Drosophila melanogaster: one gene and its partner. The protein of the gene in region 1 interacts with the protein of each later gene in a pairwise test. Each region holds a gene or a part of one and is shown on either strand. Other genes may lie near its edges.

Evidence for each region.
Region 2: the proteins of Spf45 (region 1) and U2A interact in a two-hybrid assay, tested with the Drosophila melanogaster proteins (one study listed by BioGRID).

Annotation. Positions count from the first base shown.
Region 1 is NT_033779.5:23,066,097-23,070,573, reverse strand, and holds Spf45 (Spf45), read left to right. Parts: upstream 1-2,187; 5' UTR 2,188-2,257; coding exon 2,258-2,374; intron 2,375-2,382; exon of another isoform or gene 2,383-2,429; coding exon 2,430-3,429; intron 3,430-3,490; coding exon 3,491-3,585; 3' UTR 3,586-3,700; downstream 3,701-4,477.
Region 2 is NT_033778.4:7,674,862-7,678,129, reverse strand, and holds U2A (U2A), read left to right. Parts: upstream 1-1,767; 5' UTR 1,768-1,894; coding exon 1,895-2,692; 3' UTR 2,693-2,768; downstream 2,769-3,268. Other genes in the region: LRR (Leucine-rich repeat), read left to right, coding at 1-132, 396-488; CG12107 (uncharacterized protein), read right to left, coding at 3,040-3,235. UniProt on the Drosophila melanogaster protein: Involved in pre-mRNA splicing as component of the spliceosome. Associated with sn-RNP U2, where it contributes to the binding of stem loop IV of U2 snRNA.

The DNA of each region.
Region 1 (4,477 bases):
GGCCAGGGTATATCGTCAACTGGTTAAGGCAACACTCGGCCAGGGACTACCCTTACCGACCACTGACTCCACTGTCCCTTCTGACCAGGTTCTTGTGTTATCGTGCTCCGCGGATCTCTGCATTGCACCGTTCTTCACCTGGAGTGATTGTCCTTGTATGTCCGCTCACTGGCTAATTCCCTTCTACGTCCTGCGCGTTCTCACAGACCGTTACCTTGTCGACGGGTGCGCGTTTTTCACTGACGGGTTGACTGTTCGCGGCGTTACTCTTACTTTCTCACTGTTCGTTCCCACTCGCGAATCTCTTGTCGCCTTGTTGGTATAGGTGGTCGCGGGGATCGCGTTATTTTTTTGTGCACGGTCCGCTCAGGTACAAGGCCACGTTAGTTCAAGGTGCGTCCTCTTTGTGCTCGTCCAAAGTCCGCATTGTTACCGTTCGACCTTGGGCCTTGGCCGTCCAGAGCTCGAGTCAAAGGTCCAGCGCAATACCGTTAGTTCACGGTCTCTCCACTTTGTCGGGGTCCAAGGTCCATTATTTTCCGTTCGACCTGGCCGCCTGACAACTCTCACATTCCAGCCGTCTTCGCTGTTGCTAAGCAGCTTTCCTAAGTTGTATTTTTTGAGAGTTTTAAGACTCCTCACAGTATTCAGCTCGCGACGTATGAAATCCGCATGTCGTGCCCTAAAATTTAGCAACAAGTTGTATATTTATATTTATTATATAAATATTCATTTTTAACTATGTATGTATGTTTGTATAGTTTTTATGAAATACATTTTTTAAAATGTATATATATTTTTTAAATTTATTTTTTAAATTACAAAAGTTTTATCCACAATTTTAGATAAAATTCATTTGATTTATTAGTTGAAATAATAAACATAATTTTAATTCTGTTATGTTGCTCACAGTCTCATGTTGAAGTATGTCTCCAGTACCATTTTACAAATATTAATTATAAACAATAAAATATATTTATGTGAACGGTTGATAATAATTTAAATAACATTAAGAATAAAAACAATAATGGTCAAGGCATTAATTTTTAAATCATTTTTAAATATGTAACTTCGCTTCTTAGATCAATATTAATTTCGGTTCGAAAATCGTCTTCTACGCTCTCAATTTCACGCGAGGCGGAGTAAGAGCAATTTTGGCCGTCACAAACCTCTTGATATTCGAATGTCTTTGCTTAGACATCGGTAGTCCCCGTGCCGCATGTAATTGGCAATTCTGTATGATCTTGATCAACACTAATCTACAAATCTCTTTAAATGACACAATGAAAATGCTAAGATATGCAAAACTTACGAAAAGCACATTCCCCGCAGGAATCTTCCTTTACTTTCTCAGTCGATTTATTATGTCTTGGCAATCGAGTAACTACAGTTCAATCCACTATACATTAACTGTTGCACAATTTATCGCTACAAAAACCATTACAAAATCAAATGGTTCGGCTAAACAGACGACGCTCTTACTGGCTCTCTCAAGCATTATTTATCATAAAATTTTGAATTGTGAAAAATTGATGCTTGTTTTGCTTTTATTAGTTTTAAGAAGTTTAACTTGTGTTAACTATGGGAAATCTTTATACAAAGTTATTCGATTTAAGCCCCGCCCACACTCTCATGAATAGAAGTAGTAACATTTTCCTTGTTTCGTAGCGTTTAAAGGGGTTTGTTTCCTATATATTCGATGATAGTAGTATCTTATCGTGCATAGGTAATTAAATACCTTCTTTCAAGGTATTTATTTTGAAAGCAACGAAAACATTATGAAGTACGACTTGTTTTTAACAACTGTAAGCTCTTCTTAATTTTTTTCTTCAATATCGATAATATTTAGCGTGTAAGTCGTAAGCTCTACTAACTATGACTATGCCATAGATGCAAGGCAATCGTTGTGCAATAGTTTTTATTTTAGTAAAACAGTGAAATTAAAAACAGTTCGATGACCCATGTAGTTGACTTAAGTTTCAACATAAAATAGACGCATGCGTTTTTTTGTGTTAGAAAAATTTTAAAATAAATTTAAATAAATAAATAGATTTGTAAACTTTTTTCTATTGTAGCTTATCTGTTCTTGCCCGATAGGGCATCCTTTCTTGCAGTGATATGGCTCTGTGTGAATCGGACATTAAGTCGAACAGTTGATAGTCATTAAATCTATCGGGCCTTGAAAATAAATAAAAACATTGTTGAAGCTCGTTGTCATCAATATCTTAAGGTGGTGCTAGTATTGATATATTTGTTAATGGATTTGTATGACGGCATTGATACGAGGGCTCGATCTAGCCAGATTGATGGATGGTCTTCGGGAATAAAAATGTTACAGACCCAGCTGGCAGTAAAAATGGCTGTCAAAAAACCAGTGAGTATACAATCTGCCGATATAGATCATACAATTATTAATACACCCTATGTAGCTTATGACGCCAGTGGTTAATCTAAGGTCCAAACGCCTTGCAGATCCAGAAGTTACATGTTTTGCTCCAATTACTACAGTTGTATCCAAACCATTAATAAGTGGTAAAGCCCTTCCATCCATACTGGAAAGGATAAACAGGGGGGACTGGGACGTTGCCGATGAATACGATCCTCAAAGGCCAAATGAATATGAAAAACTTAAAGAGAAAAGTAATGGCAGTGACAAAAATCGAGCAGGCGTAAGTGATCGAGAAGACCGAGATGACAAAGAAAAAGATCGTAAACGTGGACGCGTCGGTCGTCGAGAATTTTATAGAGACGAAGTCTCAGCCCCTAACCTGAAGCTCAGCGGGTTTGGCCACCGGCAAAACGATGATGACATGTACTTGCCATCTCCGGGCCTTGTAGCTAAACAGGGAGGTGCCACAATCGCTCCCCCTCCTTCCCTCCAAGAAATGTCCATTGATAGTGGTTGTGAAGCCACTAATACTATGCCATATTCTGCCAGCTCGGTGGCCGCCAAAATTATGGCAAAATATGGGTTTAAGGATGGTCAAGGTCTCGGAAAATCGGAGCAGGGCATGGCCATAGCTCTTCAAGTAGAGAAAACCTCCAAACGTGGTGGACGGATCATACACGAAAAAGACGTTTTTCTGCCACCCCTAGCATTGTCGCCACCTTCTATTGGCTCCCAAATAGGAACAAGTCCCAGCCACAAGGCCATGCCTCCTCCCCAGATGGTAGACACGGCGGCTGAGAGTGGTGACATCGGATACAGCATTACGGAGATTATGAAATCACCAAGCAAGGTTGTTCTTCTACGCAACATGGTAGGACCCGGGGACGTTGACGAAGAATTGGAACCCGAGGTAAAAGACGAATGCAACACCAAGTACGGGGAAGTGAACAGTGTAATCATTCACGAATCGTTCGGAACTGTGCCAGAAGATGCAGTTAAAATATTCGTAGAGTTTAGGCGGATCGAAAGTGCAATTAAAGGTTTTTATACATATGTGAATACTTTGTTTGGTAAATAGTTAGCTTTTATTTTTCTTTGCAGCTGTAGTGGACCTTAATGGACGTTTTTTTGGAGGACGTCAAGTGCGAGCGGGGTTTTACAACTATGATAAGTTTAAATGTTTCCAATTACATTAGAACTAATACAACTAAGATTGCATTTATTTTTTTCTAAGTTATTGATAGCCTAAAAAATGTTTACCGCACAGAACTAGTCTTGTAAATTTCTATTAAAAACTACTTTCTATCAAACAAAAACATTTTGACCATATTTATGTATATTTTTATTGTTGGGGTCGCTTACACAGTTTAGGTAACAAAGTGGAATACCCCTGGCTTTAGACCTTATGCTATGTTGGTTGGACCAAAGACACTAGAATAACAAGATGCGTAACGCCATACGATTTTTTTGAAAACGATTTTTTCGGAGCTGTTTTTTTACAGCAAACAGCTCATACAGTGACAGCCGGCAACTGTATGTGTGCACACGTATGCTCATGCATTGTTAATTTGACAAAAAATGCCCTTCACTTTACAAGTTTCTAGACTTTAAATATTTATTATTTTTTATCAATTGTCTCCATTTACAAAATTCCTGTTTTGCATAGCCTTAACGTTGTTATTATTTAGCTTAGAAATAGTAATAGCCGAATCAATGCACAGTGCCGCTCAACTGAATAGGTTGACTATTTTTAAATCCGAAACAAATTTGTATGTATGAATAGCTCAGTTATTAATAGCTGTTAAATAGCAAAGTTTCTGATCTCTTAAATTTGTTTTTATATCATTTTTTTTTTCAAAAACAACAAAAAATCTTCAATTTTTTGGCTTAACTGAATAGGTTTTACGCTTTTGACTTTACTTTTTGTTTGACCGCGTGATTGTAAAAAGTTAAATTCTTTTGTATTCTAAAATATAAATTATCTTTTTTAATCTTTTTCTCAAATGGTCCGCGGAAAACCTTTATCCGATTTTGAAAAAGGTCAAATCAAAGGCTATATTGAATCTGGTTTAAAACACTGTGTAATAG
Region 2 (3,268 bases), on another chromosome or scaffold:
GCCTGTGCCAATTTAATCAGCAACGAAATCCTCAGTATGCGCAACGGACAGTTGGGCGCCAAGTCTGGAAGCTGCGCAGAAAGTGGTGGTGTGAAGCGGATAGCCGGCAAGGAGATCTCCACGCTATTCGAGGTTTGATCTCCGAGGCCGGAGCTGCAATGCGATAACTTTTATTCATCAGCGATCAAAATTGGCTGGCTACTTCGCTTGGTTGATTTCGGTGCTCATCCTGTGCGTCTAACATTCGCATTTGCTGCATAGTGTGTATTCCTTAAGTTGTGTCGTATTAGCCAGTATGCCGCATTTTGCCTGTAATTTCATCTAGTTTGTGTTTGCCTGTTTAGCTCCTATTTAATCGAGCCGTCTAATAGAATCACTCTTCCACTTACCCACAGGAGACATTAGTTGAAGAACTGCAGCAGAGCATGGCGACCAGACGCGGTTTTAGAGACTCGACCTACACCAAGGAGGATGTCGTTGATTTATAAGTGTTCTAGTTATATGCTCAACATTCCCTCACGTCGATCCCTAGTCCTTCACCCAACCTGCCACAGTTTCACGTGATAGATAGTAGGGTTGATGATAACGTTAAGTGATGATACTGATGATAAGGAGGAAATGAGATGAAATGGTGAAGACAGAAGGATAGAGGGAAACAAGGTTGCAACTTATCGTACTGAACCATTAATTTATGTGCAATGCCGCGTGTGTGTTGTTTTCATTTGGCAATTTAGAATGAACGTGATTTATTTATTGATACAAACCCTGATACTTTTATCCAAATTAACCTTTGCATATTTTTAAAAATGTTTTGTGTACTATATTTTATATTTTTATGTATTTAAATCAGTTAAGTGCCAATTATATACAGAATTAATCTACAAATATTTTTAGCGTGTGCTCTACATCAATTTCAATGAAACTAACGAAAATAACGCAATGAATATGATACACTATACATATTATGTAATTCGATTGAGTGTATAAGAACTATTTTAATGGGCTAAACCTAAAAAAATCTAAATGAAATATAATATTTTTTATAACTGCTTCCAAATACAAACTTTATGGTTTATTATTTCCCCTTTTCTGTTTACCTCCCCTATACACATACTTATAGTATTTATAGTATTTAAGCGACAATCCGTTTTCAAATTTTGAGGCGCGTTATGCCGCCAGAAACAAATGCATTTATTTAGAAACAAGGCGGAGACCGACGATCTTATTGATTATTTTCTAAATAGTTAACAATTTAAGAAACTAGGCGAAAACGAAACCGATATAAAATTACTAAGCCATTTAACAACAGAAAACCGAAATCTATAGAAAACTAATTACCCTTATCGCAAAACGATCAACTTCAATTTTGATGATCTAGTAGTTTGCACCAACGACACAGAATATATTCAGAGCAGCGTTTAAACTTTAAACCAGTCCACCACCGACCACACACTTCGAGTTTTGAGTGTATCCCGTTCTCATTCAAAACCCCGAAACGAAATAAGAGAAACTTAACGTGTTCATTAAAGTTAAGCAATTAAAACATCATTGTAATCTATTGAAATTCAAATTAAACGGAAACGATATTGGACAGTAGTGTTATTTATTTATTTTTGAATTTCGAAAGATCAGGGGCCCTATTGGCAGCATTGGAGTAATCCCAGTATTATTACGATATTTAGAATGGTAGAAGCCCAGCAGACCGATAAAATACCAAAACATTGTTACCACTAGATCTATCGATAGCGATGCCGGCATTGCTTGCTATCGGAAAACTGTTCATCACCAACTCGCGTCGGCAGCGAATTGTTTTTCTGCATTTCGGAAAATAAGCTTCAAAAGAGTATAAAAAGACCGAGTAAAGACCAAACGTAAGCATACTATAACTGCCAAGATGGTGAAACTAACGCCGGAGCTGATAAACCAGTCGATGCAATACATAAACCCATGCCGGGAGCGCGAGCTGGATTTGCGCGGCTATAAGATTCCACAAATCGAGAACCTGGGCGCAACTCTGGACCAGTTTGATACCATCGACTTGTCCGACAACGATCTGCGCAAGCTGGACAACCTGCCGCATCTGCCGCGCCTCAAGTGCCTGCTGCTGAACAACAACCGCATCCTGCGCATCAGCGAAGGGCTGGAGGAGGCGGTGCCCAACCTGGGCTCCATCATTCTCACCGGCAACAACCTGCAGGAGCTGAGCGACTTAGAGCCCCTGGTCGGATTCACCAAGCTGGAAACCATCTGCCTGCTTATCAACCCGGTATCCACGAAGCCCAACTACCGCGAGTACATGGCCTACAAGTTCCCGCAGCTGCGGCTACTCGACTTCAGGAAGATCAAGCAGAAGGACCGCCAGGCGGCGCAGGAGTTCTTCCGCACCAAGCAGGGCAAGGACGTGCTAAAGGAGATTAGCCGGAAGTCCAAGATGAGCGCCGCAGCCGCCATAGCTGCAGAGGCGGGGAATGGCAAGGGAAGGGGATCGGAAGGCGGACGACTGGCCAATCCGCAGGACATGCAGCGCATCCGCGAGGCCATCAAGCGGGCCAGCTCTCTGGCAGAGGTGGAGCGTCTATCGCAGATCCTGCAAAGCGGCCAGCTGCCGGATAAGTTTCAGCACGAGATGGAGGCGGTGGCACAGAACGGGGCGGGGCACAACGGTTCGGGGGCCGTGGCCATGGAATACTAGGACTAGAATTATCCGCTCATCTGTCAGCTACCTTATAACCGTAGACCAATATTTTTTAATAAAACACCAAAAGTTGATTCATCGCATTCTGCATTTCGGACACTCAAAAACATATAGAATCTTCTGTTTTCAACTAAGACCGCTGGCCGAAGGATCTTTCACGGAAAGATTCGGGACAATCGGTCACAACAGAAATGCATTTACATGACCGTAATTGGCTAAAAGTTTAACAATCTACAGCGAGTACAAAGGGGACACAAAACGAGAGGAGCTGCTGGCTTATGTGGAGAGTGGAGTGGTGTGGTGTGGACCTGGCTCCTGGAATCCGGTATTGCTGGGGAGTGTTATTAAGATCCTTTCGCCGCCATTATGGCGTCGTAGTGCAGGCCAGTGTAGAAGATGATCCACGTGACCAGGAATCCGGCAAACGACGTCATGAACCCCTCCTTGATCAGCTCCCATACCCCTCCGTAGGCGTCCTCGTCCACGTTCTGAAAGTTTATGGCGTACAGGTAGACGATCCCGCAGCTGATGCCGGCGAATCTGGGGGCGCATTGGATTGATTAAGTGAAGTGA